2 linked regions of the Canis lupus familiaris genome follow. The protein of the gene in region 1 interacts with the protein of each later gene in a pairwise test. Links are inferred from orthologs where the notes say so. Each region holds a gene or a part of one and is shown on either strand. Other genes may lie near its edges. The genes, in order: CHAF1A and MBD1.

The links.
Region 2: the proteins of CHAF1A (region 1) and MBD1 interact in binary tests that used the Homo sapiens proteins (3 or more experiments, as listed by UniProt). The link is inferred for Canis lupus familiaris from reciprocal best matches to the Homo sapiens genes CHAF1A and MBD1.

Annotation. Positions count from the first base shown.
Region 1 is NC_049241.1:55,668,663-55,672,481, reverse strand, and holds part of CHAF1A (chromatin assembly factor 1 subunit A), read left to right. Parts: intron 1-659; coding exon 660-1,525; intron 1,526-3,819. UniProt on the Homo sapiens protein: Acts as a component of the histone chaperone complex chromatin assembly factor 1 (CAF-1), which assembles histone octamers onto DNA during replication and repair.
Region 2 is NC_049228.1:78,701,070-78,704,446, forward strand, and holds the end of MBD1 (methyl-CpG-binding domain protein 1), read left to right. Parts: intron 1-44; coding exon of another isoform or gene 45-84; exon of another isoform or gene 85-116; intron 117-1,765; coding exon 1,766-1,955; 3' UTR 1,956-2,762; downstream 2,763-3,377. UniProt on the Homo sapiens protein: Transcriptional repressor that binds CpG islands in promoters where the DNA is methylated at position 5 of cytosine within CpG dinucleotides. Binding is abolished by the presence of 7-mG that is produced by DNA damage by methylmethanesulfonate (MMS).

The sequences.
Region 1 (3,819 bases):
TTGCATCTTCCAATCAGAACCTTGGGAACCCATGTGATTATGTTCTTGTTTTCTTAGGTTCCCAGGAGCACATCTAGTGGTTATTGCCTTTACTAGGGTTTCTCTACTTCAGCATTATTGACATTCTGTAATTTTTTGTCAGGATATGGGGCTGTCCCATATATTTTAGGGTTTAGCAGCATCCCTGGTCACTCACCTAAATCATGATGACCAATAATATCGCCAGACATCCCTGGCAGGGACAGCTGCCCTTGGTTGAACCACCATTGTACAGGAAGATAAATGTGTTCAACTTCTTTTGTGTGAAGAGTGGTTGGTATTTTTACTCTTAGGCTAGATTAGCTAAGTGACTATATAAAAAACTGAGGCTTCTGGTTTTTAAAACTTGGTATCTCGTTCCCCTGTAGCAGCTTTCCTCCTCCTATGATGACTGATAGCAAGTTTGGTGTTGAGGGGAGTCACAGGAAGAGCAACAGTCTCTGAGGGGCAGGGGCAAACTGGAACCCAAGGGCATGAGTGGTTTACAGAAATCCCCATCTGCTGGCCCAACCTCCATCCCAGCAGGTTGACACTTGTTGAGCATTTGGAATATTCAATTATTGATGGGCTGTTGCTCTTCACACTTTCCCTGTAAAGATGGCTTCCTCTCTATGTTTCAGCTCGTCTGCCCTTCAAGCGCCTGAATCTTGTCCCAAAGGAGAAAAGCGAGGACGGGTCGGATGACATGAGGAGCTCTGAGGGCACTCCTGCACAAAGTCAAGTACCTGATGTGGAGACCTCTTTGGATACCTTGGAGAACAACTGTCATTCGGGTTCTGACATAGATGGTAGTCCAAAACTTGTCAATGGGAAGGGTCCCTTAGATAACTTTTTAAGAAGCAGAGTCAAAACCAGTATTGACCAGACCATGGTCATCATTGATTTGACGGAGGACTCAAATGACCAACTGGATGATGTTGTGGCCCACAGTAAACTAAATTCTGCAGCCTCTGCCTCCGAGGAGGCTGTAAGCAGAGTCAGAGAAGAAGCTGGAGGTGACAGGGGGCTGCTGGAGGCCAGTATGGAGGATGAGCTGACGTGTCCTGAAGAGACCCTTTCAGACACTCCGTGCAAAACAGAGAACGAGGGTGCTGGCTCAAGGGGCACAGAGAGGAGTGGAGATGGGCAGAAAGGCTCACCCCCAAGCTGCCGTGTGCTGACGGCTAGTCCAAGAACATGCTCCGAGAAGGACCAGGATGGTTGGAGTGAAGCTGGGGGCATTTTTTTCAAAGGGAAGGTGCCTGTGGTGGTCTTGCAGGATATCCTGGCTGCGAAACCTTCTCAAGCCAAGTCTCCAACGACACCTGCACACCAGGGCATGCCCTCTGAGAGTGAGATGCTGGAGTCTGGCCCTGAAGAAGACTCTGTTCTTAGCCACTCATCCCGGGGTTCTTCCTCTCCTACCAGCTCACCTGAGGGGCAGTCTGCTTCCAAAAAGCAGCACAGCAGTCCCAGGCCCTTCCCCTCCTCCACACCTATCCGCAGAGTAAGTATCTCTGCTGAATGCCAGTGTGGCAGTGCTGACGGGATTCAGCCTCTTGCTCTTCACCTGGGAATACTGTGTCACTCAGGTGTTTGGTGGCTAAGCAGGCCACAAACAATTCTTTTGGTATCAAAAAACCACTAGTGGTGTTCGGTTAAATGTGCATTGTGATGTACCTGTGGCCCTGTTAATCACCAGTGTGTAAAGTGTCTTCTGTGAACTGTCATCTAGGTAGCCATGGTTGTTCACACCTAATGAGTGGTGCTAGTCAACTTAGCACTTTTAATTAGGAACGCTTTGTAAGCAGGCAGCTGTGACCCCTCATGTCAAATGTTAGCTCCCTCCAGTTTTCCTTGCCATTCCAACACAGGCTTGTAAGGGTGTTGATGGTAAAGAGTCAGGCAGCATTGGTGAAGAGACCCCAAGACAGCAGGAGAAATAAAATGGGGATTCTGTAGGCTCGGTTCTTGTCAGCCTAGCCACATATCTGAAAAACTTCACCCCAGAGCAACAAGAATAAAAGGAAAACCTGGCACCATTTTTAAGGATCACAGAAGGATGACTTATGAAATGCCTGTTTCTATTACTGATTTGTGATTAGCACAATGGCAGCAGGGTCTTATGGGTAAAACATAAATTTAGCCAAGAATCCAGAAATGTGTTTAATTAACAGTGTTCTTTGTTTTGGGTATTTTGGTTTTTGTTTTTCTGGGGGTTTTTTTGTAGAATTTTTGTGTACATTGCATTTTTGTTAGGCTCCATGCCCAATGTGGGGCTTAAACTCGACCCGAAGATCAAAAGTTGTATGCTCCACTCACTGAGCCAGCCAGGTAACCCTAGGTTTTTTGGTTTTGGGGTTTTTTTAAATGTAAGATCAGATTCTGTGTTGGATCATTCAATCTGTACTTTATCTGCTTGATTTTACTTTCTGAGATTTGATCTCTAAGGGACTAATTTTTCTAGATGATTCTATGGCTTTTATCTAAGTTTTCGAAGTGTCAAGGGTGGAGCAATCTTTTTTTCTTGGAGATACATTTTTAAACTTCCACCTGAGCCATTATTCAGACTCTTAGAATCAGAGTTGAAGAATCCATTTTTGCCGCCAGCTATCTTTCTTGGTCTGGCCAATTGCTTGAAATTCTTCCCGACTGCTGTTTGTTTGGTTTTTTTTTTAAGATTATTTATTTATTCATAGAGGCACACATAGAGAGAGAGAGAGGCAGAGACACAGGCAGAGGGAGAAGCAGGCTCCATGCAGGGAGCCCGACGTGAGACTCCATCCTGGGTCTCTGGGATCACGCCCTGGACTGAAGGCGGCGCTAAACCACTGAGCTACCCGGGCTGCCTTGCTGTTTCTCTTTTGCCGAAAGCCTCTGTCGTATGACATATTTAAAGCCAGTTAGCCTAGAAAACGGGACATGTGTACATGTGTTTCATTCTTCTTAAGCACTTTTTTATTTTATTTTTTATTTTTTATTTTTTTTATAAAGATTTTATTTATTTATTTATTCATAGAGATACAGGGAGAGAAAGAGAGGCAGAGACACAGGCAGAGGGAGAAGCAGGCTCCAGGCAGAGAGCCTGACGTGGGACTTGATCCTGGGTCTCCAGGATCACGCCCAGGGCTGCAGGCGGCGCTAAACCGCTGCGCCACCGGGGCTGCCCTTAAGCACTTTTTAAAAAAATATTTTATTTATTCATTAGAGACACAAGAGAGAGGCAGAGACATAGGCAGAGGGAGAAGCAGGCTCCCTGCGAGGGGCAGGGTGGGGGGAGCCCTATGCAGGACAGATCCTGGGATTCTGGGATCACGCCCTGAGCCCAAGGCATATGCTCAACTGCTGAGCCACTGAGGTGTCCGTTAAGCACTTCTTTTTTTTTTTTTTTCTTTCTTAAGATTTTACTTATTTATTCATGAGAGACAGAGAGAGAGAGGCAGAGACACAGGCAGAGGGAGAAGCAGGCTCCGTGCAGGGAGCCCGATGTGGGACTCGATCCTAGGTCTCCAGGATCGAGGCAGATGCTCAACCGCTGAGCCACCCGGGCTGCCCCAAGCACTTCATTTTTTAAGTTTGTTTTTATGCTCAGAGCCAAGCCCAAGAATCCTCAGAATTGGGAAGTGACATAGCCATTGTTATGAAACAATTTTTTTTTTAAAGACTTTATTTATTTATTCAGGAGAGACAGAGAGAGGGGGGCAGGCTCCATGAAGGGAGCCTGACGTGTGACTTGATTCCAGGACTCTAGGATCACGCCCTGGGCTGAAGGCAGGCGCTAAACCCCTGAGCCACCCAGGG
Region 2 (3,377 bases), on another chromosome or scaffold:
GAGCAAACTTCATTCAACATATGGACCTGCTCCCTCTTCTCTAGGTCCAAGGACCTTAAAAAACCTGGAGCTAGAAAGCAGTAGACTGGAGGCTTCTGCAGACTTTAGGATTCAAGGTGGTATTTATAGACTGGCTTTATGAGAGAACACTGATCTACTCAGGCTGGACTGTAGACCAAGGGGTCTTATGTAGGATTCAATAGGAACTTGAAAAACCTACACCAAACCAGAGAAGCTGGCCTATTCAGTACTACGAGCTAATAGAGGAAAGTAAGCAGGAAAGGAAGAGAAAGAATAGAAAGTTGTTGCATCTGCTCCAACTGGTGCAAATCCCAGGAGCTTGACTGTGATAAGTGTGGATATTACAGGTGGGGGATCTGTGGAGTGAAGAGGGGATGTAAAAGTCACCAGAAAAGAGCCTGTACAAGCCATCTTCGTAAATAATTTTTCAGTGGCTTCTGAATGAGACCTGGCAGTGTTTTTGAACATTTCCATTTCCTCAGAGAGACAGCACTGGAAAATGTAATGTGAATAAATCGAAAGGAACTGCTATTTGGTTAGTTCCTTCTACTGATCTAATTTATTTAAAACTCAAATCTTTTTAGTAAGACCATGATTTTTGCCCATTTTTGCATATGGGAAAACACTCAAAGAAATTAAATAATTTATCCAGTGTCAGACAGCTAGTATCAGTAAGCCTAGACAATAAAACCCAAGTTTTACAACTTTGTTCTTTAAGCCACCAAACTAAGCTGTAATCCAAATACGATAATGTGTAATATTATAGTCACAGAAGTTTCCAGTGACCTTGAATGCAAGGTGGGTCACTAAACAGAACAAATCTCTTACATTGCTGCCTTTAGCATGGTTTTAGGGTATGCCAAGGCTGTGTGGTTGGGGTCACTTTGTCACAGCACCCATGCATTCAAGAGACTGGTGGGTTCTTGTGAGGCCTTGGATGTTGCATAAGAGTTCTCAAAACACTAAAGGATGTCCTTCCCCAGGGTTCACTGTCCATTTTGCTTGTTGCCCTCATTCTCAGCCAAAGCAGTCTTCGGAAGTAAAGCTGCCAGCCTGGCTCATCTTTGCTGACAACTTGCCTTCCCTACCCCTTGATGACTTTTGCATTTGGTTTCTGCCCTCAGTCCCTCTTCTACTAGGAGTCCTGCATAAGGGCATCTTGACTCAGCCCTGCCTCACTTCCCAGTTCTTTATAAAGTGCCAAAAAGTCTAGACCTGGGGTTCATTATATAGTCAGCTTTACAGGACTATGACTGAGTGCATGCTGCTTAGATTTTGTAGCCTTTGTATCTCCCCTGCCCTACTCTAGTCCCAGCCTTGTAGCTTTAGAGAATTCAGATGTAGACTAGACATTTCCTCACCGTTAACCCTTTTTGCTACCCTCTTCTGCCCCTTCCTTTGTCTTACGTTTTTGAGCCAGAGTCGAGACTGGGTAATTTTCTGATCATTGTTTTTGCTCTCCTCAGAACCCAGCCATCCAACACTAGTATTCTATGATGTCCTAAATGAAATTTATTTGATTGGCATTCAGACTCCTCTAAGAGCCTGGTTACAGTGTGTATCACAGTACAATCGGGAAAAACAGCACCACTGATATAAAGATTATATATATATGTATATATGTATATGTATATATATGTATATTTTAAGGGAATTACAGGGATTTGAGCTTATGCAGTAGTGGGAGCTGATTAAACAGTCTCTGTAAGGCTGTTGTCTTTACATCTAATGCTGGAGCTTGAAGTCTGCAGGGCAGGCAATCAGGAAGGGAAGATGGATATAAAGTGTGGGAGACGGAGGACACTTTGGCGTGCACGAGAACGAGCTGGAACCAGCGAGGATGGCCTAGAACCCATGTCAGTGTCTCACCACCTCCAACTTCGATGATGTGGGTGTCCTGCAGAAGAAGCTGGTGCCCTTCATCACAGAGTTAAATACTCATCTGGTCCAGGAATTAGAGAAGCTGGAGGAAGATCCCAGGGAAAGTGGAGCAGCTGCAGGCCTGGCTGCAGGCCTCACTGCTGCCCACACCCAACGAGGTGAGCCAGCAGATAAGTGACAACATGTGTGAACTGCAACAGTGCCTGGTGCGCCTGCACCAACCTTCCGAGTGTAAAAACAGTATGCTGCTGCTTCACTTCTGTCCTCCAATTACCATGCAAAATGTCTCTTGTGGCCCATCCTAACCGGAAGCATACTGGGAAGGGAGTTCTGGGAAATGTAGCCTAGTCAAGGTGACACATTACAAAGCCACCCTGCCATGAATCAGCTCCCAAGGGTCTCACTGCTCACCTGAGGATAACTTGATAAAGCTACGTTGCTGAAAATGCAAAGCTGAAGACCATGGATTTCATGGTGACCCCAGCAAGTACAGAGATACTGTCAAGCCCACCCAGAAAAAACTGGCTGGTCTCGGCTATTTTTGTGTCATTCATTCAAGTATTGAGAACCTGGCCTATGGTAGGCACTGTACTTGATACTGGGATACAGGAATGAAAAAGAATAGTCCATGCAATTTTATTAAATACATCAGTATGTATTACAAGTGGTGAATGGATATCCAACTTTATCATGGAATTTAATGGTGAAAATATAGAATTCAGGAAACTGTTGGAGGACAGCCCTTGCGTGAACCTTGTTGGGGCACAATAGGAATTGGAAATAATATAAATAGTTTCTATCTCTGAGCTGTTCTATTTTAAAATTATTTTAAAATAATTTTTACTGTCCCGTTTACTGTTTCATATATTTAGTGTTTTTGGGGGGAGTGTCTTGATGGTGGTAACCATGTTGACGCTGAGAAAGCGGGATGGTGGGTGGCCAGTCAAGGTCGGGTTCTGTCCAAGGACTTTGGGCCAATCCCTGGTCTAGGCCTTGGGGCTTGGCTGAGGGCGGAGGTTCACGGTGCTGGCCCTTGGTCCCGGCTCCGCCCCTCCACCCTCCGAGTAGGCCCGCCAGGGGGCGCCGGGGCCACCGTCATCCCACCCCGGCTCGGGAGTCGCGCAGCCCCTCAACCCTGGCCAGGGCGGCCCCGGGGCGTGGCCTCCACCCGACCGAGACACCAATCTTTGGCGGGGCTGGGAGGAAAGCCGACTCTTCTCCACGTAGAGGTAAAACAGGCAAAACCGAACCGGAGTTAAATTATGGGGCGCGCCAGGGGTGAGGGTGCGACAGGACGAGCTCAGGACCGACGCTGGGACGTTCAAGTCAGCAAAGTGTCGCCAAGGGTCAGCTTCCCCTGTTGCAGGAATCCTTTCAACGGTATCCTCCGGGCTGTACGACCTCTGGGGTGCCCGACGGGCTTTTCTGTATCTCTGCTGCTTTTCCCATACCCCGCGCCTGACCGAGGGCCTTTG